Struthio camelus: one gene and its partners. The protein of the gene in region 1 purifies or fractionates together with the protein of each later gene. This does not show direct contact. Links are inferred from orthologs where the notes say so. Each region holds a gene or a part of one and is shown in the gene's direction. Other genes may lie near its edges. The genes, in order: PRKCZ, NIPSNAP2, LLGL2 and PARD6G.

Region 1 (7,609 bases):
GAGATACTTGATAATTACAGTTATTGAATCAACTTTTTAAACTAAAGTATAACTAATCTTAAAGGTGCAGACAAAGAACTTATGCATGAAAATCTTAAAACAATGAGCAACCTATGAGCATGCCTGTTTTAGTCAAATACTGACCATCTGACTGAACACAGGCAAAATTTACTTTAGACATTCTAGTGGATTCCTGTATGTTTCCCTGAAGAATTCTCTCATGTATTGCCTTAACAGTTTGTCCCTTAGTGAGGGTAGGTATCCCTTTCAATCAAGATCCTCTGTTGCTCAAACCCTGGGATTTGAGGCTCTCAGTGAAAAATAACGTTGTGATCTGAGCTACAGAAAAAATAAACCTTGCTAGTCAATAACTCTTTCGTTCTTCTGTGATGACTCTCAAGTATTTCTTATGGGATATCTTGTTTCAAACCATTCATCTGATTTTACAGCCCCTTCTCCATTTAAATAAACATTAAAATATGGTAAACATCCCAACATCCATGTTATATACGCCCTTCATAAATATTTAAAAAGCAGCCCTACCTGTGACTTAGATTGTTTCAACAAAAAGTACAGCTCACAAGAACAGTGCAGTTCTTCACTAACCCAACTACATGAACATTCCTCTACTGAAATATATTTTATTGTATTCTACTGAGCAAAAAATTGGCCGAGCTTTCTTTTATGCAACCAAAATACCCAGTACCTTTAAATCTCTCCTTCTGTTTGTAGTCTGGATTCAGAGAATCACTTTTCTGGATCTGTACTTTACAATACCAGCATACGCAAGTGGAAGGACATAGTATGAAAGAGTAACGTTAGGATACTCCTTTTTCCCTTCTTTTTGCAGGAGCGGTAGCTGCCAGAATAGCAATAGGTTAATATAAAACATGGCATTCAAATAGATCTGTGTACCAAAATGTGAAAAAAGAAATGCTAAGATTATAAAGAAAAGTTAGAGCTATTTGGAAAATTTAAAATGGTTTTCCATTAGACTAATATGTCTATCAGTAGATCACAATGAGGCAAATGTACAGTGGAAATAATAGGAACTACAGTTAATATATAATAAAATTTCATACACACAAAGCAATTTCAGATGCAGTACATACCTTCCAAAAACAAACATTACTTACAGGTTTTAGGCAGGATGAGTAAAGAGGGCTGAGAAAATTTGTTTCTGTCTCAGTTATGCTGAAGTACAACTTGAAGAGAAAACGGTTCCCTCTAACCTAAAAAAAAAAAAATACACTATGTTTTTTTTCTGTTTTTGTAGCTAACCGTGCCAAAATTCTAGTAGCAAATACTACATGTGAGAGATCAAATTATTTCTACTGTATTCAAATTAATTAACATTTAAACCTAGAAATTTTCTCACTTCTTCCTGACTGTGGTGTATAAAGTTATATTTGACAATTGTTTTTTCTGAATGGCCCATGTAGTGAAACTGCTCTGAGATATTCCAGAATATTATTCTTTTCACAGAAGAGGTTAAAAGATACTACTTGCTCCATATGGAGACCAGAATAAACTAGTATAATTTCCTTCTCTAGATTCAGTGGGGTATTTTTGTGCCCTTTTTTTTTTTTTTAATGCAGGTAGTCCTGTTAAAATAAAGGGAATTACACACACACACCAACATTTTATATATAAAAATGTGTATATATACATATATAAATGTGTATACACACACACACACACACACACACACACACACACACACATGCATGCATGACATTATTATCTGAATAAGGGTCTGAGACAGAAAGGAAAGAATATCCCCTTGATACAATTTTCCTATGCAATTGCAGCCTATTTCTTTCAAAATGCTGAAGAGCAGATTGGACCACGATAAGGAAGTATTGTATTCCTCTTAGAGGCACTAAAACAGTTGCACTGCCTTGGAGTTTCCAAAGCCATTAAAGAGCAAATGTTTCTTGGAATTTTAAAAAGGAAAATACAGATAAAATAACTTTGCACTTTAGTGAAATTAATAGCCATTAACATAGACATCTGATGCCTGAATCAGGACTCTAGATCTGATGCCAGAAGCAGGACTCTAGATTGATGCTATTAACCCCAAATAATTTGTTTTCCCTTTAAACTAATCTTTAAAGAACAGTTCTCAGTGGCCTGTAGGACTAAAATAAGGGACTAGCACAAATAATCATTGTATATTCAGCTGTTTCTTTCCCAGACAGTTGCCTAGGAATATTTTGCCATCTGCTGGAAACATGTAGATATACACATTTATATAAATACGGACTTCAAAAATATCACAATCACTCATAAAATTAAATAACCAAGGAGATGTTACATTCAGAAACCAACGCTCTGCATGTTCATAACTTTTAGTCAAAAAGGCAATTCAGTAACATGAGGTAATAGCAAACTTCTCTACTGCAGCAATCGCAATAACAACAATACATTCTTTAGTAAAACAGTTTTCATCACTGCCACTATAAATCTGTTGCACAACTGGACAGTGAGGTTGAATGTATACCTGGTCCTTACATGTGTAAAGCTAGATTATCATTGTGGTCATATCTGTGTAAACTGGGACTAAACCCACTGATGCTGAGGTGAAGGGATAAGAATGCAAAACAATACACAAACCTGATGCATATGAGTATTTAGTACCACAGGTACAGGTGGCATAAAATAAAATGGCTGACCTGTAGGACCCTCAAAATAGTGGTGTTAATAAGGATACTATCAGGTCTTCAAATTTAGGTGCGGTTGGCAGCCATATAACAGCTTTGGTTTTATTAAGCTGAGAGTGGTTTTGTAGAAGATAAAAGTGCAATGCTCTGTCATCGGAAAAAAATAATCAGGATCAGAAATACATTCAGGATTACAGGCTCTAGGCCAACAGAAGCTAGCTGTGTTTCAAAAACAATATGCCAGACACAATGATCTTTCAATATGTTGCATTTTCAAACCAGTTACAACCTTGTTAACTAATGCACAGAGGAAAACCTACATCTTCCCACAAAAAAGCCATCTGCCCACTCTTTTCCCCAGAAGTGAGAAATATCTACTAACAAATTCAAGTGTTTAAACAATCCTGTAATACAACAAAATCTAAAGCAACAAAAAATAAGACTTTTAAAAGTAACAGCATGAGTACTAATTGACCAATAAAGAAAAATCTTTGCAAGATATACAAATTGCTTTGTATTCAGGTTTTCTGTAATTGCTGAAAGTGTATCCAACAATTTGTCCTGAGCAAGCTGTGCTGAGAAAAAACAACAACAAAAAAATTCAAATAAATCACAGTTCTGAAGAACTACACCATCTTTTATTTCACTGCCCAACATCTCAAGTATCACAGGATGTCTGAGGTGACAGAGAGATCAAAGTCTAGTTTGCCCTGAAATAAAGCATGTTCGTTGACACATCTTATATAACGTTCTCCATTTTAAAGATGAAATCTGAAACATATGAAGATTCAAGGGTCCAGTTTGAAACAACACTGAGAATTCCAATTGAGATAAAGTTAGCAACGGAGTCATTATTTATTCAAATTAAAGACTGTTAAATCAAACCAACTGCTGCATTTTTTTGGAGTCACAGAAAACATCTAGATTGATGGGAATAAGTTTTGCTTCTGTACTCCTACTTAAACTAGTATTAAGCATTATTCATATTTTTGGAAGTTCATAGAGACACCAAACAAAGCATTAGCGCTATATTCGTACAAGCGCACACATTCCTATAACCCTCAAGGGAATTGTAAAAGCGCAAAATGGTGTCTAAAAGAAACTTGAGGTAGGTGTGTACAAGGTAATAGCAAGAGACTAAGGATCAGTCTTTTCTCATTTTCAAAATACAGATTATGACTGCTCAACTCGGAGTAGTCAAACCCAAACCACAGTGGTTGTGACACCCTGGCTTGGTTTATTGTTCAGAGTTCAGTGGACTAGTTACCTGAAGGAGATGCAAACAGCTAAGCAAAAGCTCCAAGGCAAGCCTTTTGTTTGGATAGCTTATTGGCTTGCCAAATTGGTTTAGGTATAGAAGAAAACTAACTGGCCATTTTAATTCTTAATTTCCACGAGGGGACTCTGTGAGTACAACTATCCCACACCTCTGTCCAAAGAACAGAGGAGACCACTGTGCTTAAGTCATAGCTGATTCATAGTTTTAAATCAACAGATCAAAGTAGCATTAGGAAAAAAAGCACTTTATAAAACTGAAATAGTGATGACATTGGACGTTTCACAGGCTTGCCCTTGTGAAAGCGTAGGTAAGTCAGCACCGTTACAACAACGTAGTCCATTGCTTTTTTTCCTCCCCTCCCGATGTGGCTACTCAGAAGAAGTCACGATATTGTTATTTTTATTGTTTCATTTCTTCTGTACCTATTTATTTCGACAGCAGTTTTCCTGCCTTTACAGTCCCGAATGAAGTCTTCTCGGTTTGGGTGGTATGATTACCCTTCCATGGAACTACACTCTTGTGAAAGGAAGCTTTCCCTCTAACTCCGGGCGGCAGCGCCGCTCCTTCCGGGCACCGCCGCTCGCCTCAGCACCGCCCCCGGCCCTGCCCCGAGGCGGCCCCGCGCTCCCTGCCCCCAGCCCGGCGCTGCCTAGCCCGAGGGGGCGCTGCCGCTCCTCCCGCAGCGAGCCAGCGCCTCCCGGCGAGCTGAAGCTAAGGGGGGGCCGGGCGAGGCCACACCGGAGAGCCAAGGGGCCTTCGGCAGTTTGGACGACCCACTACCTCTCTAGAGGGCTCCGAGGAGAGCAGAACCGTAGCTCTGTGCCCTCACAGCGCCGTAACGGTCGCGTCTGCTCCTCCTCTCGGGCCTGGGGCCTCCTCTCGCCACGGCGCTACCACATCTCCGAGCGCATAGGTGCTGCACGGGCACAGCAGGGCACCGAAACCCTCCAGGGACGGACTAGGGCTACGGCGGAGCGCCAGAGCGCGCCCGGCCGCTGTCGTGTGAGGACAGCCGCCCCCTCTGGCCCCGCCCCTCCCATCACACCTACCGCCCCACCCGCCGCGCCCACGGGAGCCGCGCACCCGCCGCTCGCTTCTCCGATTGGCTGCAGGCGCCCGCCTTCCGCTCCCTCTATGGCTTTTTATTGGCTGAGAGGCTCCTACTCTTCAGGTAACGGTTTCTAGCCTATGATTGGTCACGGGTGGGGAATATCCTTTTGGGGATTGGCTGCAGGTGAGCCGGAGTTTGCTATTGGCCGGCAGGTAGAGTGGGAGGGGCTCTATTGGTTGTGGGTGCTTCTTCGTCGGCCATGTTCGGAGTGGTGGCGCTGGTGCGGCTAGGGCTGGGAGGAGGAGGAGGAGGGCTGGGAGGAGGAGGGGGAGGAGGAGGAGGAGGAGGAGGGGGAGGGGGAGGGGGAGGAGGAGGGGGTTACTGAGGTGGGGAGCGGATGAGCAGCTACGGGGGAACCTGGGGCTCTTTCCGCAGCGTGCTGCTGCCGCCACGGTTCCCGGGGGACTCGCCTGCCCGGAGGGCAGCGGAGCCGGGGTCCGACCCGAAGTTCCTGGCGGGACTTTGAGCAACTTGGGGGCGGCGGGAGCGGAGAGCCGAGCTCTGCTGGGACGGGGCTGGAGAGGCAGGCCCGGAGGGCGGGCGTTGTCGGTGAGCTTTGCGGAGGTGATGGGGAAGGGGATCCTTGGGCACCCGGCCGCCGGGGAGGGACCTGCCTCGGCCGGAGCAGCAGAGTAGGTAGGAGGAAGGGGGAGCCCCAGAGGCGTCCCTTGGGCGCGGCGCGGCAGGGAGGGAGGGAGAGGCCTCGTCCGGGCGAAAGCGTCCCCTGCCTCTCGCTCCCCGCGCGCGTCGGGGCCGCGGCGTCGCCCCCGGGTCGGCGGGCGCCGGAGGAGCCCTGGGGAGGGCGGGAAGGGGCTGCGAGTGCCCTCAAACCCCAGCAGGGGAGGGAGCCCAAGTTCTGGCATCTTTCCATGGTCCGTGTGGCCCCGCTTCCCTAGAGAGCGGGCTTAGGGAGCTGTGTGAAAATATTTTCGAGTATGCCTGTATATGGGAGGGAGCAGAGAGAACCTCTGAAGAAGCAGGATATTTGCTTGAGAGTCCAGTTCTAAAGGCAACTTAGACAGCCCTTTGGAGTTCTTTCACTTTTCTTGAATAAATTTGTAATTAGCATGAATGAGTAACTGTCTTCCATGTATATGCAAATTACTTTGAATTGGAATTCTCTACTGTATGAAAGAAAAGAGCCAGAAGTAGTATGGATGAAGAAGTAGTTAATTCCTTTGAGTATTTCTGGCCAGGAAGGAACTACTGGATATTTTGTTAGAAAATATTGTCCTTTAAAAAAACCAAAATTTAAATGTTTTATACCAATTGTGCAAAAAAAAACCCAAAAAACAAACTGTCTTGAGTTCCGATCGTCTATAAATTGGAATGCTTATGCAATGCAGGGTAGTTTAAACTGATTTACTTCATTACTGTGCCAGACAAGTCTTATTGTATGTTTTCCTTTTGTTTTCTTTTGGCTTTATATGTAAAGCTACTTGAGTTTACAAAATCTGACACAACGCATTTGTTCAGTAGAGCGTGTGTATATTCATCTGTATTTTGATTTTTCTTTCTTTCAGCTGGATTGACTGTCGTCTGGAAAAGATGTGCATATATCACATCTGAAGTCTTTCACTTAAGAATTAAATGAATTATCTGCTCTTTCTATATAGTTACCATATAGTCATTCATTTAGACTGTTGAATTTAGACCATGCCTAGCAGAATGGGCTCAAAAGTTAATTTGAACAGAGACTTCATCAGGGTGAAAACACACTATAGCGGGTAAGTCCACATATTCCCTCCTGTGTATTGTGTCATACCTAATTTTGAAGCGTATCGAACAGGAGTCTATAGTCTCACTTAGTAGCAGAGTAACCAGGAAGCTGATGGATTTGAATGTAATGTCAGGACAAGTATATAAACTTCTAGGCTATTAAAATAAACATCCACAACAACTGCAGCACACTGAAACATTTTAAAAGAGTTGCTGTTTTATTCCTTAGTCTGGGTTGATGGGTTATTGCTTTCTGTTTTCTTGCAAGTGTTTTACGTTCACAGGCAGATAAGTTGTTCTGTTACATCCAGATACAGTTGTTATATTTTTATAATATAGAAATACATCTATTGTACTTTATTATATTTACTCATGTTGTGAGCTCTGAATCTGCAGATTACCACTGAAATTAGCAGGAGACTACTAAGTGCAGGTTTCCACTCACAGATGTCAGTTCATGACTGTGTGCTCCTTGGGACAGAATCTATGGTATTTAGTACGAGAGCTCTTTTCCGGTGGGATTTTTTAGATATTGTTTTTAATTTACAGTGGTCACTGTTTGGAAAATTATTGGAGGTGGGGTTTTTTGTGGGTAAATATGTAAATCTTGAAGCAACAATCAGATGTCATTGGATTTGTCTGCCTCTTGAGAAATTTTGAAGAGAATGCTTGCCAGGGAGTTATCTAGGTAAATGTGGGAAGAGAGAATTTTAGTTAAATCTCAAATTATGAATAAACTTAGATTGAGCCTATGTAAGCTGCTTGAAGACTCAGTTTTAACAGTGTGTGTGTTTTTTCTTAAAAATCTAAATTCAAGACACAATGTTTATTTTCATA
Region 2 (7,376 bases), on another chromosome or scaffold:
CTCGTGCTAGATCCTTACTTATTAAAGGTAAAAGCTGCTTAATGGTTTGTTTTACAAGATAATGTTTGTGTTCTGTGTGGCAGAATCTTTAATTGATTTGATTCTTAAAATTTTTAATAGCTCTTTATGCTGTAAACTCTTTGACTTGCACAATGATTTGGTTGTGGGGATAACTGTAAAAGATGAAAAGCAGTGTATTATCAGGACACTTACAATAGAGATTATCTGCTAAATGTGTTTCTTTGGAGCGCTTTTTTAATGCACTGTGATCTGAGTTGGGAGGATAGGCTTTGTTTCATGCTTAGATTGATAATTTTTTTAATATTGATTTGGAGTATGCTTTATCTTGGAAGCTTGACATTACCTAGTCACTTTTCCAGTACACTCTTGTAGCTGTTTTCCAGTGTGCATAATTATAAGCCTATTTAGTATTTGAATCTATGCTGTGGTGTGCTAGAAGAGCCTTGCATTTGTAATTTCTTGTCAATGCATCTCAAGTAGGGAGGTTAAAATTAGTATTTTCCCAATTTTAGGTGGGGAAACTATGGCACAGGTAGGTGAAATAACTTGCCCTTGGTGACCAGAAGGCTAGGAATAGAATGGAGTTCTTGTAGGTCCTGGGATAACTGGACTAGGATTCACAAGACCCGTACTTTATACAGTAGAAGAACCTGATGATTCTCTCCTTAAAGGAGAGATTCTGAATCCTGCAGTATCAATAGGATTAAATATTGAACTATTACGTGAAAGAACGAATTGAGCAAAAAAACTTGAAAAAATATGACAAGCTTTAGTGCAACACCAACTCTGGGGCTGATGAGCTTTAAGAGTGCTAGAATGGGTAAGAATTGATATCTGTTTTTGAAGTATAAACTGTTCAGGAAAGTCAGATTATTCAGCTTGGAAGAGCCAAGGCAGCTAGCTGCCTTGCTGAAGCAGTGTGGAAGTGGAGCATCCTAAGGGGAGAGAAGGCTAACATGGAGAACAAGAACTAAAGAGCAGAGAAAGGCCAATGGGAAGTGGTGATGCTAGAAAAGGGCGTCTATGTTAAGTGAAGAAAAGCTTATCTTTGCCTGTATCCGTGTTTTCACTATCAGCAACTTCTTGTACCTTTGCTGTCTTTTCCTCATCTCCTTTTCCAGACTCTTGTTGGCAATAACATACTAGCAAGTCAAGAGAAGGTGGTAATACTGTGCTTGCTTTGAAAAAACAGTACTGTGCACAACTGCACTTCTCTTCACAATCCAAACTTGAGCTCATCAGAAAACCAAAGGCGAATAATTATGCAAAACTGTACTTCTCATTAGAGAAATTTAGTTCACTTTGTATTAAATATATATTTACCATTGCTTCATTTTGGAACCTAACGCCAATGCTTTTCCTTCCACAGTTCTTTAACAAGCGAAAAACTTATTTTGCCCATGATCCGTTGCAGCAGTGTGTTGTCGGAGACATTGTTCTTCTAAAAGCTTTGCCTGAGCGGAGGAGCAAGCATGTGAAACACGAACTGGCTGAAATTGTTTTCAAGGTTGGAAATGTCATAGATCCAATAACGGGAAAGCCCTGTGCAGGAACCAGGTTCCTTGAGAATCTGTCAGATTCAGAAAATCTGACAGAGGCAGATACTACCTATTTAAGTGAAAAGCTCCAGGAACTTAAAGTTTGTTCAACAGACAAATAGAAGGGAAAACGTTTATGTGGAGGGCTTTTCGGCTGATCTGTGAGGGGCGTTTGGGGCCCCATTGTCATATGTGAAATGTTTCGATGATTTTTGGAGTCACAATAAATAGCAAACGTAATTGCTTCCAAAACTGGATGTTACAGATTGAGCACCTCAAGTTTCTAAATGAAAAAATGATGAAAATGTCAGTTAAGTGTTAACACTTTGTCACCTTGCATGTAGTTTTGCCTGACCTCTTGATAGTTTCGGAAGCCAGCTATTCACTTACAATGGCTCTTCTGTATTGAGAAACAGAAGACTATAACTGTATAATGTTTAAGCTGGGAGGGGTCTGTATTTTAAGTATAAGCCTACAAACAAAGATTGTCAGAAATGCAGGACAATGATGTTAAAACTTTTGAAAGGAAGTATAGAAATCTTGAAGCCAACTACCTTATGTGTGTCCTTATTGCCTCCTAGTCACTTCAACTGTATTGCTGTATTTTACAACTTCCAGAATGTCTAAGAAACAGTCACTTGCCTTTAAATATTGTCACTTTATTGCTGTTATAAACTTTGGGTAGCTTAGCGTGGTTCCCTTTGTGGGAAGAAATCTATACAGAGTTTGCTAAGCTGCCCCAGTCAGGGGTGGGAAATTAAGAACTGTCATTAAGGTCGTTAGCTCTCATAAACTGCTGGATAAATGTTCTTATTTCAGGAGGAAAAAATGCTTCCTTTGCAACTGATTTAACTTATCCAGAGAATATATTCAGTTTGGGGAGAGAAGGAACTTTGAACTGCCAGCAGGAAATAGAAGGTGATGAGAATACAAAGCTACAAAGTGAAAGTAAACATGCTTAGATTTTAGTCTTGTTAGAAGAGCTAGTTAAAGCAACACATTGGGAGAGAGAGAGGTACTGATTTGCTAAGTGCTGTAATATAAAACAGGAAGGCCATAGAGGTTAACGATTTATCCTGCTGCAGCTCTGGGGATCATGTGTCCTGTCTTCCCAGACGTAAACTAAGAGTATGCTGTTACGGCAGCCTTGTGTAGCTGACTTTGGTTGGCTTTGTATGCAGCTCTAAAGGAAATCCATGTCAAAACAGCATTTGCAGGGATGGCATAGCATCCTCCTGTATGGAGGAGAGTGAGTATATCAAAGCTATGAGGAATCCTGTGTGAATAGGTGTGTGTTTATCTATGTTGTTGCTCTTTGCTTAAGATTAGAAGCTAAAGAAGGAATTTCTGAATAGAATTCCTCTGCTGGTGACTTAAAGTATTTTGGTTTTCTTTTTTGGAAACTGAACCACTCTACATTAGTAAGCTATCAGTTCTTTCAGTGTCCTGATGCTGTAAAGTATTTGCGCTTTTAACTTTTTGGTTTCCTTCACAGGTGCAAAATGACAGTTTCGGCTGTCCCCAAACTGCTGGCAAAGTCAGATTGAACTCAACAAATAATTTGAGCTAGGAGGAATGAGAGACTTAGCTTAGCTTCAGTGTTTCTGAACCAAAATATTACCTTTTTGAATGCTAGACTGTTTCTTTCTCACAGTCCTCAAGTCATATCTTATGTTTCAGTGAGATAACAAACTGTATCCAAGCAGTCAGTAAAGGAATTTGAACCCAGTTCTTTGGGATGCAAGTGAGTGTCCTACTAACTAAGCAATGCAAAATAAAGGAGTTTTCTCCTTGGTTAATGAGTAGCATCTACATCTAATTGTGATTTTAACATGCTTTCAGGTCAAAATGTGATTAAATGTACATGCGGTATTTTTTTTAAAATGTCAGTCCCATATTAAGTTAAAAGGGTCTTTAAAGATGCACCACAGGTTTTTCTATTTTACTGTGAGCAAACACTGGCACATGCAGTGTTGACATTTTGCAGTGTGTGCTGATGATGACTGACAATAGGTTTACCTAATGAAATTTTGTAGACCTCATTTAGATGTGCTATGCAGAAGCTCAGGCTTTATTCATAAACTTCTTTGCTGTGTTAATTGATTGGTGTTCTTTTAGTAAAGTCCTTTAAATGATAGCTTAGTTTAAAAAAGTTATTTGAAGACTTGATTATTACCACACCATCTGGTTTAGTTAAACTAAGTACTATAGCTGGAACAGATTAAGAATGAACACTTCAACTGCATGTGGGTGAAAAATTTACTTGGTGAATAAGAAACTAGGTTTTTTATATGTGATTCAGAAAATACCCTCTGGATTCTTTCTTGGTAAGTAATTTTCATGGGACATTACCCTACTACTTAGTGGCATCTTTTTAGCCTTCCAAAACTTTCTGCGAGGTCAGGAGTGAAAGATTAAACCAGTAATTCCAACGGGGTTGGATACTACAGCTAAAGGCTTTCACAGATGCGTTTCCTTGCATGCCTGCTGGGTGAGGGGAAACACAGCCGGCGGGGGGCACTTGACAGCATGTTACTTTCTTCCACCTGCAACGGTAATGAGGAATGCGATAGCCTTTAGGAACGACAGCTCGAGCTGGTGTGTTTTGCACGTTGTTCTGTTGGTTAAAAGCGCGGGGAGCGGCAGCGGAAGGTCAGCGGGTCCCTTCCCGGGCGCTGCTGAGACGAAGCCTTGCGCTGCGCTTGGCCCCGCGGCGGCGGCGGCCGGCGGCCCGGGCAGCGGCGCCCGCGCATGCGCAGCGGCGGGGGCGGGGCCGCAGGACCCTCTGGCGGCGGCGCGCCCCTAGCGGCCGGCGGCGGCGCAGTGCGCCCCCTTCCTCCTTCCCCCCCCCCCGGCCAGGCGGCGGAGGAGGGAGGCGGTCGGAGCAAGATGGCGGCGCGAGTGCTGCTGCGGCGGAGCCTGGCGGGAGCCAACGGCGGGCCGCGCCTGCCGCCCGGCGGCGGCCTGGCCCTCAGGTGAGCTCTGGGACGGGGTGGGGGGTGCGGAGGGAGGGGAGGCCGCAGCCGGCCGCGGGTCCACTCGGCCCCGCCGCGCGGCACCCCCCTCCCCGTTCCTGACTGGAAATGGCGCCCCGCTCCCCGCGGGCGGCGCTGGGCCCGGCGGCGGCGGAGGGGGCAGCGCCGTCCCTCAAGGTCACGGGCCGCCAGGCCAGCCCCCTGCCCTCGCCTCCGCCAGTCCGCCCCCGCGGGGAGCCGAGCCGAGCCGCCCGCTCCTGGCGAGGGCCGCGGCATCGCTGCGCTACCGCGACGGGCTGCAGGCCGTGCCCCCCCCCCCGCCGTGTCCCCCGGTGTCGGGGTGCAGGACAGTCCCCCCATCCCCTAGTGTCGGGGTGCAGGACATCTCCCCCCCACCCTGCGTCCCCTGGTGTCGGGGTGCAGGACAGCCCCCCCATCCCCTAGTGTCGGGGTGCAGGACATCTCCCCCCCCACCCCGTGTCCCCTGGTGTCGGGGTGCAGGACACCCCCTCCATCCCCTAGTGTCGGGGTGCAGGACATCTCCCCCCCCACCCCGCGTCCCCTGGTGTCGGGGTGCAGGACACCCCCTCCATCCCCTAGTGTCGGGGTGCAGGACATCTCCCCCCCACCCCGTGTCCCCTGGTGTTGGGGTGCAGGACACCCCCTCCATCCCCTAGTGTCGGGGTGCAGGACATCTCCCTCCCCATCCCCCAGTGTTGGGGTGTAGGATACCCCCCCCTTTATCCCCCAGTGTCAGGGTGCAGGACACCTCTCCCCATCCCCCAGTGTAAGGGTACAGGACATCTCCCCCTCCACCTTCCTGGTGTTGGGGTGCAGGACACCCCCTCCACATCCCCTAGTGTCAGGGTGCAGAGCCATCCTGCACACCTGCCCCACCAAGTAACAGGTTGTGCAGTTACCCCCCATCTATGTGTTCCCTGGATGTCAGGGTGCACAGACACACACAAGCACACACTTTCAGGGTGCACGGCCATCCCACACCCACGTATTCCCTGCTGCTGGGGTGTACAGCCATCCTGCACCCACATATCCCCCCGGTGTCAGGGTGCGCAGCCGTTCTGCATCCCTCCCCTGCTGGGCAACAGGGTGCAACCCTGCACTGCATATCCCCTGGTGTTGGGGTGCATGGCCAGGCACATGCCAACACCCCCTGGTGTCAGGGTGCACACCCACGGTGTCAGGTCACACAGCTGCCCTGCACGCCTACCCCATGGAGCAACGGGGTGCACAGCCGTCCTTTGCTTGTGTGTTCCTTGAGTCCAGGCATGTGGCTGCTCACACTGCCAACACCCATCTGGTGTCAGGGTGCACAGCTGCACACGCACCATTTGTCAAGTCACAGCACACTTACCTGTGTGTCAAGGTGTGACGTGTGTTTCTTGGGTGTTAGGGTGCAGTCCTGCACATGTGCACGCCCGTGTATGCATCCCTGGTGTTGGGTGCAGGCACTTGCATGCAGCTGCTGAGTGTCAGGGTGCACAGCCGTATATACATGCTTCCTTCAGGTGCTGGTGTGTGTGTGCACATGCACACATCCCCCAGGTCCCAGGGCACATACACAGCACACCTTTTGCCTGTTGGGTGCAGGCGTTCACACACCCACACGTGCAGTCTGTGAAGAGTCAGACACACGCACACCCCTTGGGTGGCAAAGGCACAGACACACACATCCACAACTCACAGGTGTCTGGGCATGGATATATACACATGGCCCTTGGGTATGGGGGGAGCAGACACACGTTACGTTCTTTGGGTGTCGGAAGCACAGGAGCGCCCGAGCTGGGATGGATCTACATCCGTTTTTCCTCCCTCTTTTTGAAACAGGGGAAGCTGCTGTCTCAAGCCTCAGAACGGACAGCAGCCCCTGTGCAAGGCTAAAGGGATGAGCTCTGCAAGCAGCTGTTTGAAGTGGGAAGGGGGGGAGTTGTGGAGAGTACATGTTATGAGATTTTATGTGCATGAGTATTTTTCTTTGAAATAAACTTTGACGTTTGTTTAGACCACAAATCAAAAATTGTCAATTTGTAGACAAGTTCTTTTTCTTTCTCTTCCAGGCAGACATGAGTTACTACAAAGTTTAAATATTTGACCTGATACCTCCCTCTCCATCCAATTTATATTTTGTGCTAAAGCAGAAGTTAAGTGGGATAGAACTATTTTCACCCGCATTTTTAGTCTAACATAAGCAAACTTTTCAGTGTTCCCATTTTGTATTTGCAAACCAATCCTTGTGGCATTGTGCTAGGTTCTGGGGGATGAAACTTATGAGAAATGGATCAGTCTGTCAATAGTATACAGGAATTAAAAGTAGAAAAGGATAGACTTAGGTTTTTAAAATCATGATATTCATCCTTTGGTAGCTGAAAATGTCACTGGAACATAATTAAAATACTTATAACTTTACATTGTTTTTTCTAGTAATTACATATTGACCTCTACGTTTTGAAATAACACACAGGAGCTGACAATAGCTTTTTTGAAATGTGGATTGACTTCACCCAATCATTTGCTTTTTCTCTGCACCATCCTCACAAACGTGCCATTTGAACTGCTGTATCAGGTGCAACGACAGGACCCGATTCTGAAAAAGCTCGTGTGTATAATAAAAGCTAAGTCCATAGTTAAACATTTGTAGGGTAAGAACCTCCTAGCAAAGTCAAGCAGTGTCTTAGAAGATTCTGTGAAAACTCTCTTCTGATAAGTATTGTTCCTAGAAAATAAAAAAATTGTGAAGTGTGATGTTAATTCCATGTAGTGTGTCTACATTCATTCTGTGCATATATTCATATTTACATTAGTGACATTCATATAGTTTGGATCC
Region 3 (7,809 bases), on another chromosome or scaffold:
GAGGGGGCATCTTGTGACTGTCCCTGCTTGTGAGGTCTGCGAGACGCTCTCAGCAGCAGCGTGGGAGCTGCCTAGTGTCCAGGATGCCAAGAGAATCCAGTGCTCTGTTCCATGGCCCTCTCGCACCTTTAGCAAAGGGCTGGTATTTCCATGAAGCTCTGGGTCAGGGAACCAAGGCATTCCAGGCTGACTGTAACTTTGAGGGTTGCTCTCTTCTCCTGATGTTCCCTGTCTGCATGCTGGCCAGGGAATCTCGCCCACAGGTTTGGTTATGTTTCACCTCTGCCTCATGCCTGAATGTGCTGCCATCCCTGCTGCGCAGTGCTTTGCTCCTGTATCGGTTTGTGTTTGTGGTACTTCTTGTAAGGAATGCAGGGAGAGGGAGAGCGTGGCGGATGTGGGGAAGGAGCTTGCTCTGGTCTGACATGAGGAAGTGGGGGAAGGTCTGGGAAGTAAATGACTGACCCTGGAACTGTTCTAATTTTCTGGGGAGTGAAGCTTTCTAAAAAGCCCAGACTAGACAGGCTTCCAGAGCTTTTGCTCCCTCCTTCCTCTGCTGTAGCTATACCCTGTGACCTGTCAATCCCATAAGCACACAGATGTGTTCTCTCTTCTGCAGGCTGCAGGAGGACACAGAGGGCATGACAATAGACTTCAATGTGTATCAAGCAGATGCTGTGGCCAAGTTTAAGAAGACGAATCCTGGAAAGCCCTATGTCAGGATGTGTGTACGGAGGTATCAATAGTGCATTATGATTTCTGTTGAAATATCCCTGTTGCTGATGTGGGGATCCTAATGGTCTGTAAATGACCCAGGATCTTGGAGGCTTTGCAGATCATCAGAGTGACTGCCTCTAGGGTGGTCCTGCCCCGAGGTTTCCTTTTCTTTCTGTTCCTCCTTTCTTGGAGTCTGTGGCTGACTCTTCCCCCAGCCCTAGCACTCAGCCCACACTGTTTGGTCATCTGGTTGCTGCTCATGCGGGTATTACTGGAGTCGGGAACAAGAAGCAGCCACAGCTGTATTTATGCAATGCCTGTGAAACTCGCACAGAGCCCGGTTTTGCAGAGAGCCATATGGTATGTGACTCCTCAGCCAGTGCAGATCCCTGTGGATTTATGCAGAGCTGTGCCTACCTAGAGGTGACTACTGGCTCAGGGCCATGGGTTTAGTATTTTGATCTTTGTCATATGTAATTTTGGGGCAGGTATCTGCTTTCTTGCCCGATCCAGAATCTGATACTTAAATTCCATAGGTAGATGCAAAGTTCAATTTCTGCCTTTTCTAGTTTTGATATACTAAAACAGTCTCTTCTCTACTCTCAACTTCAGTAGAGACAGAGGAAGGAAGATGGTAATTCAGGTTTACAAAGGTCTGTGTTATGAATTAGTAGGATGATCCTTACTGCAGAAATATTTCTGCAGAGTCTGTTCATTCTTAAATGGAATTAAAAGGAGGTCAGATGTCGATCCCAGCAACCTAAAGAACTTCCTAATATAAAAGTATTTAGATTGGATTGGCAACTTGCCAGTAGCCCTGTGAGCTGCATCTAATAGCCACAGCATGGAGCACTGTACAGTTGCCCTTGTTTTCAGCAAAGGATTTGACAGCTCCTGGTTCCTGGCATGTGGTGTGCTCTCACTGCTGGCAGTCTCCCGCTTTGCTTGAGAAGTGTGGGGAGAGTCAGTTCCAGCTCATGAGACCAGAGGGGGTGACCATTGTGAGCTCTGGTTTTTCAGGGATGCCCAGCTGGGTGAAGTTTGAGGGCAGCCTGGCTTGTTGCTGTGAATTGTCTAGCTATTGTTCTGTCTCTGATAAGCAAAACTTCCCAGAACAGCTGGGTTTATGTATTCTTCTGTGCTTTGAGAACTATTTTTCCTTCTACAGCTTTGACGAGCAGATTCCATCCCTTCGAGCTTTGAAGCAGGTCACATACCAGAGTGGGGACGTCCCGGTGGTCTTTGCACTGGTGGACCATGGAGAAATTGCCTTTTATTCGTTAAAGGAATTCAAGCTGCCAGTTGATATTAATCACTGAAGTTGCTGTCACGGGCAGAAGTGATGTGGGATGAAGGGGAGAGCTTTTATTCAGGATTTGTTTTCTTGATTAATGAAATACTATGGAAAATAGAGCTTATGATAACCAACTCTTACACTTGGTAGTCCACCACTGCAACTGGTTTTGTTCAACCAGGAGGTGGCTCATCTATAAAAGCAAATTTACTGCAGCCAAGCAGTGTGTACAGCTTAGCCGGGCGTTTCTGGACTGGAATACACACCGCTTTGTTCTTGAAGCCACTGGTTCTCCAGCTCTCTGATCTCATGGACGACTAGCCTTTTCCCTGTCATGTCTATCTGTCCTGTGGACCGCTAGAAAATACTTTGCTGGTGACCCTCTTTTCATATGTTAAGAACCACTGTGCTAAGCCAGTCTGAACGGTTGGAGAATCATTGAGGTCAGCCAGGGCAGAATAAGCTGATCAGGTCAGCGGTGGTCTCCTGAGCTTCTGTCATTCAGCTGCGCCAACGAACATTGGATCAGATTCTTATGTGAAAAACAAAGTCGCAGCCATAAAACTCAGCCAAAGGAATCAAATTTCTAGATATTTGAGAGCAGGAAACTCTGGGCTTTGTGCGCTGTTTTGTCAACCAGAGGTCCCAGAAAACCCCAGAGCATTGCAGATGGCACCCAGCCTCGTGCTGTAATGGCTGTCCGGAGATGTGGTTTGGCCACACAGTATTATATTTTATTAAAATTATGCCACCAATATCAGCACACTGTGTCTGATTCTCTCACCAGGGCTGCACTGCAGCCTTCTCTGTTTTGTCTGTTGACATCCCTTTTTCTGGCTGTAGTTCCTTGTCTTTTCTTTTGCAAGTGAGAGATCCTTGAGCAAAAAAAGAAGCTACAGATTCCTCATGAGCCTTCCAGTCCCGTGGCTTTTGTGCTCCAAAGTGAGGATGAGTATCCCATCATGGCTTTCCAGGCCCTACCATGGGAGCCTTCTGCCAGGATATGCAGGTACCAAATCTGCTTTAGCCTCTCTGAAAAATGACCAGTGAGGGCTGCCAGAAAGCCTGCTCAGTGGATAGAAGGATGCTGAGCAGGGCTGCGTTCAGTATCTAGCTTTCGTCAGAAAGGTAATACCAATTGTTTTAGATGCATTTTATTTGATAATGTTTGAGTTCCTTTTGGGGTTGGGGAAGAGGCAAAGGCTAAAGAATAAAAAGCCTTTTCCAACAATGCAAGCTCCTGAGTGTTAACTTATTAACATTTCTGAGGAAACTAGGCAGAGAGGGATGCTCTGGGGAGGCTGTCTGGACGCCAGTAGCACTAGCTCCTGAATGCCTGCTCCTGGTCATACAACTAGGTGGCTACATGGCCCCTTTCCTACACCGGTTTTGTGTTCTCATCGGGCCTCGCCATCAACCATGCCTTAGTTCCCTAGGAGGGCATCGCGAGTCAGAGGCAGGAGGAGTCTGTACCTCTGCGTGCAGTCCCTGTCGGCACACACCCCCACCTTGCCATCTTCCTGGTGCATGGTCAGAGGTGTTGTAGCCCAGGGTGGCAGCGATCTGCTGCAAGCTCTTCACCTATTCCTGTTCCGTGCACACACCTGTATTACCAGATGCTGGAAGTCATGAGGGCTCCACTGAGCTGAGGGTCTAATTTAATACCTCCTCTGACACACACCCTCCTTTTCCTCTTCCTCCCTCCTGGGAGGGGCTGTGTTTTAACTCTAATAGTCCTCTTTAAAAAGCCAGGGCTGTTGGCAGTTCTGGTCTGATCCCTCAGCGCTCTCCCAGACTGTTTTGCAGATTAAAGGCAGTGGGAGGTGAGTGTCTAAGAACAGGCATAGGCAGAAAAGCTCCAGTCCGGCCCATGGGGCTCACGTTTGTCCTGGAATTAGGTCAAATGCGTGCGCTCCTGTTGAATTGAATCAGAGCCTCATCTGCTTATGCCAAGGTGGAACTGTATCGATGGACAAGAGCCACCCAGTGAGTTTCGCTAGGGCAGAGACTCCCTGATTCAGCACAAAACAATTACAATTTAATAACCGTGGCAGGGAGGATTGAGAAACTGTGGCTGCCTTGCTCAGCAGCACACCATCTGACGGTGCCTTTACCCCGCGGGATGAGATTGTGATGCAGACTGATACGGCTGCTTCGTTTGGACCCACGATGTGGAAGAGCTGGATGTTGCAAGGAGATGACAAAGTATTTTAATTGAATAATTTCACCTTTTGAAGCTCGGCTGAAACACTGACCATTACTGAAAACTTGTCTGAGGTAATTTCAAGCTTTGTGTCGCTGCAGAGACGTTGACAGACCTCGCAGTGCTGTTGCACTGCCACATAAGCACAGTCCTAGCCTGGCTCTTGTTGCCTTGCCGCAGGACCCGGGCTCCCCGCAGCGGTTGATCCCCGCGAAGGGTTCAACTTGCTGTTAAGTCTGTCTCGTTTTTGCAGCCGATGACGGGTGAGCCCCTTTTCTCGACGTTGCGTGGGGCCCTTGGCGCTGACGAACACCTGAGCGGGCTGGAAAGCGCCTTTCCCGGCCGTTCCCGTCCGCGCCGCCCCGGGGCCGCGGCGCGGGGCGCGCCGGTGAGGCCGCTCGGCTTGAATGGCGTGACGCGGCACAGCGCGCGGCTGCCTATAGGACGGCGGCAGCTGTGGCCGCGTTCTGATTGGCTCCGAGCGAGCGGAGCGCTGAATTATTCATGACGGTGCCAGAGAGGCGGGGCCGGATGAAAGCGAGGGGAGGCTCCGCCCCGGGAGGTGATTTGCATGCGGGGCCCCGCCCCGCCGCACCCCTCCCGGAGGTACCCAGGGAGGGAGGACGGCGCCGCCGCCGCCGCGCAGGCGAGGGGCAGCGGCAGCGGGCGCGGAGCGAGGCCGGGGCGGCCCGGCTCGGCTCCAGGCCCCGCAGGTGAGCGCGGCTCGGCCTCGGCCTCCGGGGTGGAGCGGAGCGGAGCGGGGGGTGACGAGCCGTGCCCGACGGGGGCCCTCCCGGTGGGTCCGTGGCGAGCAGCCGGGGCCGGAGGCCCCCCCCCCTCCGCGGGGGCCGCTCCCGGAGCCGCCGGCAGGTGCTCGCCGCCCCCGCGTCCCCTCTCCGCTGGGGCGGTCTCCTCCGCCGCGGCGCCCGGGCCCTCCTCCGGCCACCCGCCTGCGGGCGGCGGGGCGGCCCCGGCCGTGGCGCCCGCGTCCCGGTGCAGCCGGCTTTGGCTCTCCCGTAACGCGTTTTTTTTTGTTGTTGTCGTTTGTTTTTTTGTTTTTAAACTGAGTTTAGTTTATTGCGCTCGCTGTGGACGGAGCGCGCGGTGTTGCCGGGGAGCTCTTACATCCTGGGATTTTCGCCCCGGCGGCGGCTCTTTTGCTTCCCGACTTCCTGTCCCGGCGCTCGGTGCGAGCGGGGCGGCCGCATCCCCCCCCCCCCCCCCCGGCCGGCCGCATCCCCCCGGCCGCCGCCGCCCCTCGCCCGGCGCGGCCCCTCGCAGCGCTGCTGCCGCCCGGCCCCGGCGCCGAGAGCGCTCGGGAGCGGCTGTGCGCCCTTTCGGGACGCTCTGTTCACATCCCCCATCCGATACTCAGCATACGGTGTCACTTTTCTCCCTTCTTTCCCCAAACTCGTACGAGCGAGATGGGCGAGGGGGCGCGTTGCTTCTAGCAGCCAGCGAGGGGGCCAAGCAAGACGGGGAAAGGAGTCGTGGGGGCTTCGCCCCGCGGCTGCGGCGGGGGGACAGACTGGTTGGCGGCCCCTCGCCTCCTCGAGGTGAGGCTTCGGCGTGGCTGCGGAGGCTGTTCGGCGTGTTTCCGTTTCACGTTGTTCACGGAGCTGTTGAAGTAACTTAAGGGACTGTTTCTGCAGCGTAGTGGCGTAAAGCTTTACGTGAGGATAGAGGTAAGATGGGAAGAGAGCTTCACTGAGATAGTAAAATTAAAAGCCGTCCGTTGTAATCTGTTACTTGAATGGCAGTGCTGCTCTTTGTAGTCATCTGAGAGCACCTCGGTCAACTGGAATGTCTTGCTTTACCAAGTCCCTGGTGAAGCTGGAGGCCCAAAGCGGGCTGCCTGCTGGTTTCATCTTTGATTCGGGAAGCTGGCGCTCTAGCAAGCGGGATGCAAAGCGGTGGCACGTCGCGGCCAAGGCTTCTCCGTGCGTCCTGACGCGTTCCTCGCGCTCGCAAGGCGGCCCGGCCCGCGGCGGGGGCAAAGATGGTCTGCGCGAGTTCTGAGCGCTCGCTAGTCCTGCTCAATGCTGCTTGTTGAACTCTTCTAGACGTAACTGCTCCAGGGACTCTGTTTAGTTTCTGGTATTAAAAGGGGGAAGAGTTTTTAAACATCTCTGTAGGATGGCGTTGAAGAGCATCTCTTCTCTTTGGTCTTGTACAAGTTGCATCTACTGTTGCTACTGACTGAAGAAAATTACTGGAGGAGTTAAACTGGTTGAGATAATCCTGTATCTTCCAGTTGCTTTCTGGTACAATAATTTGATTATTATTGGGGAATTGCTTGTGGGACAGATGTTTTTTCCTGACTGACTAGCGTCTTGAGAAATGTCAAAGGGTAAGAGGATTTAAACGTATATGCGTAATGCAGTTACTACATCCCAGTAAGAGGTTGTGATACTGCTACTAGTCTGATCTTTCTTTACAATACTTTATCCAGGGAGGGACTGGCAGTAGTTGGAAGTTCAACCTCTGTGCAGAAATTGTATGGAAACTCCAAATCTCACCTACAGGTTTCTTTTAGGTGGATTTCTCTGTGTGGCTTTAGAAAGAAAATGCTTTCACGTCCCCACTATTTTTGGTGTAAAAATGCTATCCTGAAGTTATTTTCAGGATGATGAGCCATTCTGTCTTTCACTTGAATCACACTTCTTATTTAGAAGTCTACAAAGAGTTTTGCATTGTGTGCAATAACGTTGTCCAATGCAAAGACTTTGTTCTGCTGTAGCATTTTGAAACTTCATGTTGTCATGCTCCCATGACAAGGAGAATACAATAGGAGTCATAATGACACATAAGTTTGCACAGTTAGCGAATTCATCACAAGTGGGCAGTTGCTGGTAACTCTGAACGCAAAGCTGTGGAAGTCCATGAACTTTCCTGATTGGTAAGATTGGTTCTCGATCCTTTTCTAAGAAATCAGAAGGATCTATCTTCAGTTTTTAAGGGTGGCCACCTGCACAAAGTGTTGATGTAGCTGGTTCAACTGCCTGTTTACATGTCTCTCTCTCCAGATTTGCAAAAAATAAATCCTTTTTATGGAAGGATCTTTCAGCTGTCTTCTCTGCTAGTGCCTAATTAACGCATGCAAGATGCATCTGAGCGCTGTCCTGTTTCTGGAAAGCTGTGAGTGATGAGATGCTAGCAGTTGATCAGCAGTTATGTCATGTAAGGGAGCTTTTTGCTTGGTCTTAGTAAACTATGAGATTACTGATGTTTTTAGAAGGAACGTCTTTCCAAAAGAAGCTTTATCCTGGGGGGAAGAAGATGGTATCTAGCGCTTCCAAGCTTTCAATGTGCTGCAACCGTTCCTTCGTTTGCTCTAGCTCTTCTGCTTGGCTTCTGCTTTCTTATTTAGTATCTGTCTTGTTAGTGTGTGCGGCTGAGCTAGGTTATAGAAGTGAACTTTACAGTGACAGCCCGGCTAGAAAATAGCTAGGGATTGCTTCACTGATTTCAAGCTGGAAGTGTTCTAAAACTTGTCATTTCACAGTGAATCATGTCTGCTGGATCTGATGGCTCCTGCACTTGGCACACTTGAGACCCCTAGTACTTAAATGATGCTTTGGTTATCTTTTTGTTG
Region 4 (7,938 bases), on another chromosome or scaffold:
TACACCCAGTGTGACAGATTCCAGTGGTCATCAAACAAGATAGATAAGCACTTGGACCACAGAAAGAAGAAGAAAGGAATGATTATATCTTCATGATAGTAGCTTTCTCATAGTCGTATTAACATTACAAATTAACAGTACTGAATTTCCTTCCATTTCATTAACTTAATGAAGATCCAGTCCACTAAAGTCCATTAGAAAACTTAGCAATTACTGCAAACAAGTAACTCCACTATCATTGTCTGTATTTTAATAACCCATTCTAATTTAAGTTACAGTTTAATACAGAAAAGATGCATGGGAAGATAGAGATGATGTCAGCTGCATAAATCATTTGACAGTACGGAACTCATTAGAAGATGGATCCTGCACTTGCAAACTTACTATTATGCTTCAATTTACCATAGAAGTAGGACCATCTGTAGAGGGACAAAGTGAAGGCTAGCTTCATCTCGAGGGGGGAAGAGAATCAGGCAGAAGTCCCCACATACCAGGCCTGTGGTCACTAGCGCTTTCTTTAAGTCAAATATATTTTAAAGTGTTTGCAGTCATCGTTTTGACACTGAGAGTAACTTCTGTCTATACAGCACCTTTCATCTAGAAACCTGAAGAGCTTTCTGAAAATTAACTCAGTGCTTCTGCACGGCCATTGCATGTTCAAAATTCATACCAGCAATGTGTGAAATGCTCTCCTTGCCAGAACTTGTGCTTTTTTTTTTCTTTAACTAGTCTCTGTTACCAAGCCACAAAACCATGCAATGGAGACGGAAATCTTGCAACACTGTTGAGGTGTATCTGCTACCCTGTTTAATGCTTGTGTTGATTGCAGTGACAAGAATTTACATTTTAAGCAAAATTTTTATCCCACATGGAAGTAGAAGGATCTACTTCTAGGTAACCCGCGGAGGATGAGATCTATTTGCCTGCTTGAAATGAATGACACTTGGGAGACATTATTGTTTTTCATATTTTTTTTGTTAATCAAGAAAGGAAAACCAAGAATCGAAGCAATGGAATGTTCAAAGTTCTTTGAAAGGGAGCAAAAATTCTGAAATTCAGCAGAACAAGTGTAGTCTGAATATTTGCAGTCTTTAGTGAGCAATGCCTTATCCTAGTGATTTACAGAGCTAGAGCATTCTTTGGAGGCAGAATTCGCAGCACAATCTCCTCTCCTCCCTCCTCCCACCCCCAAACACGCCTCTGCTAATCAACCTTTGCCATCCTTGCAAAGTGCTGTTGCATTTAACCCCACTTAGAGGTAATTTGGAAAGAGAACAATCAGTTTGGTAACCCATTTCTAGTCTCTGTCTGATGATATTTGGAGATTAGCTGCTGGGACTGTGGCTTCTCAGCTCCTTTGGTTTTTGAATTATTTGCATGCTAATAACTGTAAGTACATAACCAGTTATATAATATCCACCAGATAAGTCAAAGGGGTGCGAAAATCCACCAAGGCCAGGACGCCTGCCTCCCGCTTTGCTGGGACCCCCGTCTGCCCCCACCAGCTGGGTGGCGGGCACACATCAGGCTGGCTCGCACAGCCCTTGCCTGGGAGCACTCACACTGCTCCTTTCCCAGCAGGCGCTGTTGTAAAACACAAAGAAATCGAGCTCTAAATTATACTGCTCCTGGCATCGTTTTATTGCCTGGTTCTCTCCAGCAGTATTTCGCCTTGTAAAGCAAAGCGAAGGTCCTCGGCAGCGCAGAGCCATTCTCTTTGGAAATGCTGGAAGCTGTCATAGCAAGTGTCCATCTCCGTTTTCACTCGTGAGCTCTGTGGTACAACTCAGCAGGTGCCATTTCCTCAGCCGTAGATCTGGCCGCTCATCTTGGGACTACTTTAGAGTTAAGTCACGCGAGAGGTTTCCTTGATGCTTCATCTTCCTGGTAGTAAAGAAGCGTCGGGTTTCCCCACCCCTTGGGAGCAAACTCTTTGCTCTTTTTCCTAGTAAATTAACATGCAGCTCTGGAAGGCCTGCAGGCAAAAGCTCTTGAAAGGAAAGAGAAAGAAGACATTTTAGCGTAAGGGAAGGGACAGTGGAAAAAACACTGGGGCAGGCAGTCTTCTCTCCCCATGTCCCCGCTGCTCCTGTGGCTGTGGCATTACTCCTTCTGCTCGCCGGTGGGTGGTCTCCTGCACTGGGGCAACTGGTGTTCCCTGGCATTGGTCTCTGCAGCTGATTAAGTAGAAACTATTATCCCTGCGGCAGGAACACTGCTCGCTACGTACAAAACAGCAGTCATCATCCCCGCTCTTCTCTGCTTTGTGCCATGCTTCATTTCATTTTACATTTAAAGAAACCCAAACCAGTCCATCATTGCAGCAGCTCCCCCAAGCCATTTGGACTTATCATTTGTAACCCTTGCAAATTCAGCGCGAAGGGGAAAAATAAATCTTTGGATGTGAGTCTGCGGTAATTTTCACTTCTCAAAACATGTAGGCGACTGTTGTTAACATTAATGAGGCATGCAGCTAATCAGAGTAAGTCCCTTGCTTGATGAAAACAGCACTGCAGGAGTACATCAGGCACAGAGTGCAGCACCTTTCATTCCCCCAGTGAACAAAATTCTTTTAAAACAGAGGAGTATTTGAATATTTATATTTAAATGTACGGCCTGATAGGATCTCTGGGCTGTAGCATCCCTGCCGTACTTAGGGCAAGAAATGAGGGCAGAAAGGGGCTAAGGGACTGGGCCAGGGATGCGTGAGTGCAGCCATGCTCACGTCAGCAAGGGCTGGGACACAGCTACCACGGAAGAAACGGCGATCTTAGCTCTGCAGGTGAGAAACAGGAAAACTAGTTACAGATGACCGAAACAGATGAAAACTTACAGAAGTGGTTAGAGGAATGTGGCGCCCTTGGCAAATGATGAAAAAATTGCTGAAAGGTGCCTGAGTAAAAGCGGTCAAATTAAAACCATCTTCGTGACTGAAATATGGCAAGAGTTTGAGGGGGAAGCAGCAGGTAGGAGCTGCAGTGCCTGCTGCACCACGGAGCCAGGGCAGTCTGAGAACAAGCATTTTTTTGTTCCTGCTGTAAAAGGAGATGAAGACACTGCTCATTAAGGTATAGCATAGACATGGGAAGAGTAGACAGCAGCAGGACAAGTTTTCTGAAGCTGCCTTAATCATGTGCCCCAGCTCTCCTCTGCAGAAAGGAGATCAAATCTAAATGCAATTTGGAAACGTTAAAAAAAAATTGTATCTTAACAAACCTACAAAAACGGACTGGATTTCGTGACAGTTGTTTGAGAAACTTTCTTATCCAACAAACGCTATGCACTTATATAATATTGTTGTATTTTTCTACAAATTTCAATATACAATCAGATTTTCATACTCAGGCCTTCTGCCCATGTGTGCGCCCATTTTGGCCTAACCAACGACCTATCCAGAAACCGATCGTTCCCCTGATGAGAGTGGGAAAAAAATTGCTTATTTTAATTTAGAAAATAATGGATGTTTAACTCAAATTGGATGCCATTTAAATAAACCACATTTTTATTTTAAAAGTCTTCACATCATTACACTTGAAATTATGACAACGTGTATTAAAGTCTGAACAAAAATAATTTAAAATACGATATTCATATTTGCGCATGGGATTTTTTTAAGAGACAAACTGATAAACTGGGAAAAGGCAGCAGAAACCAAGTTTTGTTAAAGTACTTGGAAAAGATCCTTTGATAGCAGTAGCCTCTTTGTCGGTGTAAAGACCGTATTTCCTCCTATCGGTGTAGTCACCCTGTTTACTGTGATGAGTGTTTAATTCAAAGTTGAAAAAGTGGGCAAAAACTGAAGAGCGGAGAAGCTGCTCCTCTAATCTGTGGATAAAAAGCAGAGTGAGAGGCAGCGATCTACTATTTCTAAAACGCTGTAGTATACAAGAACTGGAAACAGCATTAGTTCCGTTCCTGAAATACAGTAATTTGTGCGCTTAATAAATCTGTTAGCTTCAAGGACAGGGTAGATGGGAAAAAGAGGGCTGCGTGTTTCTGTGGTGGTGGTAATATGAACAGGACCTCGGATGGCTGCTGTTGACAGGGCAGGGAGCGTGGAAGTCCCCCGAGCTCTACTAGTGAATCAACCTCTGACTTGCGCTTTGAAAAACGTATCTTTGCTCTGAACGGATCCAGCATGGTTTAGCGACTTTTGTATGAACAAAAAATTAGTTCTTTTTTGAACATTTTAATTGAATCCTCTTCCCGGTTACCCACAGCTAGGTAGGCATTATTAGCTTTAAAAGTCGTTATTAATATAAAAGAGAGGGTAATGAAGCATTTGCATTTTCTGAAAGAAAACAAAAAGTCCAAAAGAATTTAATCTGTATTTCTCAAATGAGCATCACGGATACCAGGAGAAAGTACCACATTTAGCGTAAAGACTACAGATTTAAATTACTTACTAACTGCTGAGAACTGACTTTCCCTGAGGGGGGGAAAAAAAAAAAGCAAAACTAAAAATCTAAACCAGAATTAATACTAATCATGCCTCCGCTGTGGCTGTGATTTCGGTTTAAACCAGCTGTTGGATTTCGGGGTCGCGCCGCGCACGTGGGATCATGCCAGAAGTCACCTCAGCATGTCCTTTTCCGCCCCCCTGAACTCGTGGGGCGCGGCGGCCGCCGCCGTTGCCACCTGCCCCGGGGGGGACGGGGAGAAAGGGGGCGAGAAGGGGGCGCTCAGGTCTGCACGGCGGCGTGTGGGCGGCCGTCGGGGACGTCGAGCAAGGGGGCGCACCGGCCCGCGCCGCCTTCGCGCCACCGCCGGCCCGGCGAGGGCCGAGGGGCGGGGCGAGAGGCGAGGGGGCGGGGCGAGAGGCCTGAAGGGGCGGGGCGAGCGAGGCGAAGGGCGGGGCGCAGGGGTGGCGGGAGGCGGGGCGCAGGAGGCGGTGCTCTGCCCGCCGGGCCGCCAGCCGGGGCCGCGCGGCGGTTGGGAGCCGGAGCGCGAGCCCAGCGGAGCGGCCGCTCTCATTGGCGCGCCGGGACAAAGTGGCCGCAGCCCCGCGCGCGGCGCGGCGCGACACGCTCGCGGGGGGCGGCGGGAGCCGCCGGGGCCGGGCCGGGCCGCCGGAGGGCAGCGTCCCGCGGGGGACTCGCAGCCCTCGGTGTGCGAGGCGCGGAGAAGGAGGCGGCGGCGGGGGAAGCAAGCGGGGACCGAGAAAATGAATCGGAGTTTCAATAAGTCTCAGACTCTGCGGTACCTGGAGTGCAGCGCGGTGGAGGTGAAGAGTAAGGTGAGGAGAGCGCGGCGCGGCCTCGGCCGGCGGCGGCTCGGTCCCTCTCCGTCCCCCCGCCGCTCCCCGCCGTGCGCGGAGCCCCCCGCCGCGCCGCTCGGCTGCGGCAGCCCGCGCCGGCAGGAGCTGGCGGGGCGCCTCGCTCGGGCTCCGGCGGTGTGTGTCCGCCCCGCCCGCCTCCTCCCCCCCCACGGCGGGACCGGGGGCGGCGCGACCCCCTTCCCCCCGCACGGCCCGCGGGGGCCGGGCCGGGGGCTGAGCGGGATCGGGGCGGGCGGGCGCCGGGGGCGCCGTGCCCGCCGCTCCGGCTCGATCTTTTGTTTCGCCGCAAGGACTTCGGCGCAAACTTTTGCGGGGGGGGGGGGAGAGGAGGAGGAGGGAGGGCAAGTTTCGAAACCGCCCATTGTTTTCGCTTTGCCGAAAAGCGGGGGATTTCGGCGGGGGCTTTTCGGCGGGGGCTTTTCGGCTAGCGGCGTGCGGAGGGGAGGGGGGCGGCAGCGGGACCGCCCGCCCTGCCGCCGTGGCGGGGCTCGCCGCGTCCCCGGCCCGGCCCGGCTCGGCTCGGCCCGGCCCGCCGCGGGCTGCTCGGGCTCCGTGCTCCCCCTGGTTGGGCGCTTGGCGGCCCCGGAGCGGAGCCGTTTAGCGCTTTCTGCTTATTTTCTAACCGGTTTGGTTAGGTGGGGAGGAGCGGGGCTCCCCGCCGCCTCGCCGAAAGCGAGGGAGCCGCCGGGGCCCAGCTGGGCCCGCCGGCCCCCGAGCGGGGCCGCCGCTGCTGGCGGCGTCGCGTCGCGTCGCGCCCCGGCGGCACCGTCCTCGGCCCGAAACGCCTCAGAGGGCGAGCCGTTCCCCAGATGCCGCCGCCATCCGTCTTGGGGGCAGTCCGCAGGTGCCCCGGTAGAGTTGAGCGAGGGAGCGGGCAGGGAAGTGGGTGGAAAAACGGGGCCAGGCTGGTGCTGGTGGCGTCGCCGTGGTGTGGCGGCTGCGAGGCCCGGCGGCTTCTCCCTCGCCCGTCCCTTCTGCCGGGTGTCAAAGGGGAACGGGGCGCGCCTGCCCTGGCGGAGCCAGCAGGTTGTGCCTAAGCCCTTATTTTTTTAGCAGCGGGGTTGCGAACCACAGGACAGTCGTGCGCGGGCACAGCTGCGCGTTGTGGCTCGGCTTTTTTAAACGATGATTTCAGTTCTCTGTTTTTACAGTTGGTCTTGCTGAGGGTTCTCCAACAGGTCCGGTCTGGTCGCTGTTGCTTGAAGCAGCACATCAAAATCTTGTCCACCTCTCCTAGGTGGAAAAACACCTCCTGCTTGAGGGAAAACTCAGAAATCTCCCTGGAAGCCTGCTTTCTATACACATGTCTGATCAGTGAGTAGGTTGGAAAAAAGTAAGGAGTAACATTCGCATGTTCTGGGAAACTGTGCACTGGCTACCTGTTTACACAGTGTTGGAGCTGAGGTGTCAGGCACTCTTGTTTGTGTTCAGTGCTCTCCGTTTCTGTCCTCTGCCGCTGTTAGTATTTGCATTGAGATCAGCCAGCCTATAGCTCTGTCTCAGTGGGAGGGCTATCTCACGTGCAGGGGACTCTCCAATCATTTCCGAAGGTGACATCTGAAACGTGGGTTGAGAGCTCTCATTTCCTAACCTCCCATTGCTACTCGAGTGTTCGAAGGGGGTCAGCAGGCCAGGGACATTTTCGTCTTGCTTACACAGCTGGAAAATTTTGGTTCGGTTTGTACTAGTTCTAAGGTGTAATCCGCCCCCACAACATTTGATATGACCCCCAAATCCTCCAGATCCAGTTTTCTCATCACTGGCTTATACCCAATGCAAGCTTCAAAGTAAAAACTTGACCCCAGTTAGACAGGAACTTTTAAGTTCATACTCTTACTGCAGTATTCAGGTGGAAGAAAGTAAAATTTGTTCTCTTAGTAATAATTTAAAAGCAATCTTATAATGAACACCACATAGCCTCTGTTATAGCTGTAGAAATCTTTTAAGTGAATCCTATGTAGCCATGTAGATACCAAGTCATTTAGGTAGATCGCGAGTGTGAACGAGTGACTGCAGACCTGCAGAGAGAAGGAAATCCATTGCAAATAAACTTGTGTGGGTGGAAGGGGTTTACTGGAGGCCTTCTATAGTTCAGGGAAGTTACTGCTAATGGCACAGACGTTACTTTATAGAACAGCACTGCTTCAGTAGGGTGGGAACTTAAAATAGAGGCTGAACTCTAAATAGCATGTGGAGGGCCTACACCCAGTGATGATCCATTAATGTGCAACTTGGGTCAAGGGAGGCCAGCTGTTGAATTTCCTGGTTCTGGTGGGTCGTTTTGTCCGCTTACTGTTAGTGTGACTTGTGTGCATCAAGTTGTTGGAGAGGTTGCTACCGAAATTGCGAGGTGGTTTTCTTTTGTCCGTAAGGCTCACAGGTTTGCTCAGAGGGAGTTATTGGATTGTGGAAGTCGATCCAGTGAGAAACTCTGGCCAATGGTGCCTGGACTGTCTGGAGCTGAGGGAAGGGGAAAAACTTAAATACCTTCTATTCAGTAATGCTGCTTTTGGTAGCCTTATGTAGTCAGCCTTTTAAACATCTAGTTGCCTCTGTTTTGTAAGTACAAGGCCTGTCCAAACCTGCCTGAGAACTAGAAAGTTGAGTCTGAGAACTCATGATTTTGCATCTATCTTCAAATGCTGTAGCCTGCCAGGCGA

Evidence for each region.
Region 2: the proteins of PRKCZ (region 1) and NIPSNAP2 purify together in Homo sapiens (affinity purification with mass spectrometry; 3 studies listed by BioGRID and IntAct, counting the BioPlex papers as one, with this or other methods). This does not show direct contact. The link is inferred for Struthio camelus from reciprocal best matches to the Homo sapiens genes PRKCZ and NIPSNAP2.
Region 3: the proteins of PRKCZ (region 1) and LLGL2 purify together in Homo sapiens (affinity purification with mass spectrometry; 7 studies listed by BioGRID and IntAct, counting the BioPlex papers as one, with this or other methods). This does not show direct contact. The link is inferred for Struthio camelus from reciprocal best matches to the Homo sapiens genes PRKCZ and LLGL2.
Region 4: the proteins of PRKCZ (region 1) and PARD6G purify together in Homo sapiens (affinity purification with mass spectrometry; 6 studies listed by BioGRID and IntAct, counting the BioPlex papers as one, with this or other methods). This does not show direct contact. The link is inferred for Struthio camelus from reciprocal best matches to the Homo sapiens genes PRKCZ and PARD6G.

The regions. Positions count from the first base shown.
Region 1 is NC_090962.1:2,921,704-2,929,312, reverse strand, and holds the start of PRKCZ (protein kinase C zeta type), read left to right. Parts: upstream 1-4,600; 5' UTR 4,601-5,113; intron 5,114-5,216; exon of another isoform or gene 5,217-5,689; intron 5,690-6,576; 5' UTR 6,577-6,709; coding exon 6,710-6,780; intron 6,781-7,609. UniProt on the Homo sapiens protein: Calcium- and diacylglycerol-independent serine/threonine-protein kinase that functions in phosphatidylinositol 3-kinase (PI3K) pathway and mitogen-activated protein (MAP) kinase cascade, and is involved in NF-kappa-B activation, mitogenic signaling, cell proliferation, cell polarity, inflammatory response and maintenance of long-term potentiation (LTP).
Region 2 is NC_090957.1:15,436,446-15,443,821, forward strand, and holds the start of NIPSNAP2 (protein NipSnap homolog 2), read left to right. Parts: upstream 1-4,376; 5' UTR 4,377-4,448; coding exon 4,449-4,534; intron 4,535-6,379; exon of another isoform or gene 6,380-7,376. Other genes in the region: MRPS17 (small ribosomal subunit protein uS17m), read left to right, coding at 1-27, 1,391-1,681. UniProt on the Homo sapiens protein: Protein involved in mitophagy by facilitating recruitment of the autophagy machinery required for clearance of damaged mitochondria.
Region 3 is NC_090960.1:8,491,802-8,499,610, forward strand, and holds the start of LLGL2 (LLGL scribble cell polarity complex component 2), read left to right. Parts: upstream 1-4,805; 5' UTR 4,806-4,927; intron 4,928-7,065; exon of another isoform or gene 7,066-7,113; intron 7,114-7,809. Other genes in the region: TSEN54 (tRNA-splicing endonuclease subunit Sen54), read left to right, coding at 620-736, 1,886-2,036. UniProt on the Homo sapiens protein: Part of a complex with GPSM2/LGN, PRKCI/aPKC and PARD6B/Par-6, which may ensure the correct organization and orientation of bipolar spindles for normal cell division.
Region 4 is NC_090943.1:94,492,760-94,500,697, reverse strand, and holds the start of PARD6G (partitioning defective 6 homolog gamma), read left to right. Parts: upstream 1-4,923; 5' UTR 4,924-5,164; coding exon 5,165-5,236; intron 5,237-7,938. UniProt on the Homo sapiens protein: Adapter protein involved in asymmetrical cell division and cell polarization processes. May play a role in the formation of epithelial tight junctions. The PARD6-PARD3 complex links GTP-bound Rho small GTPases to atypical protein kinase C proteins.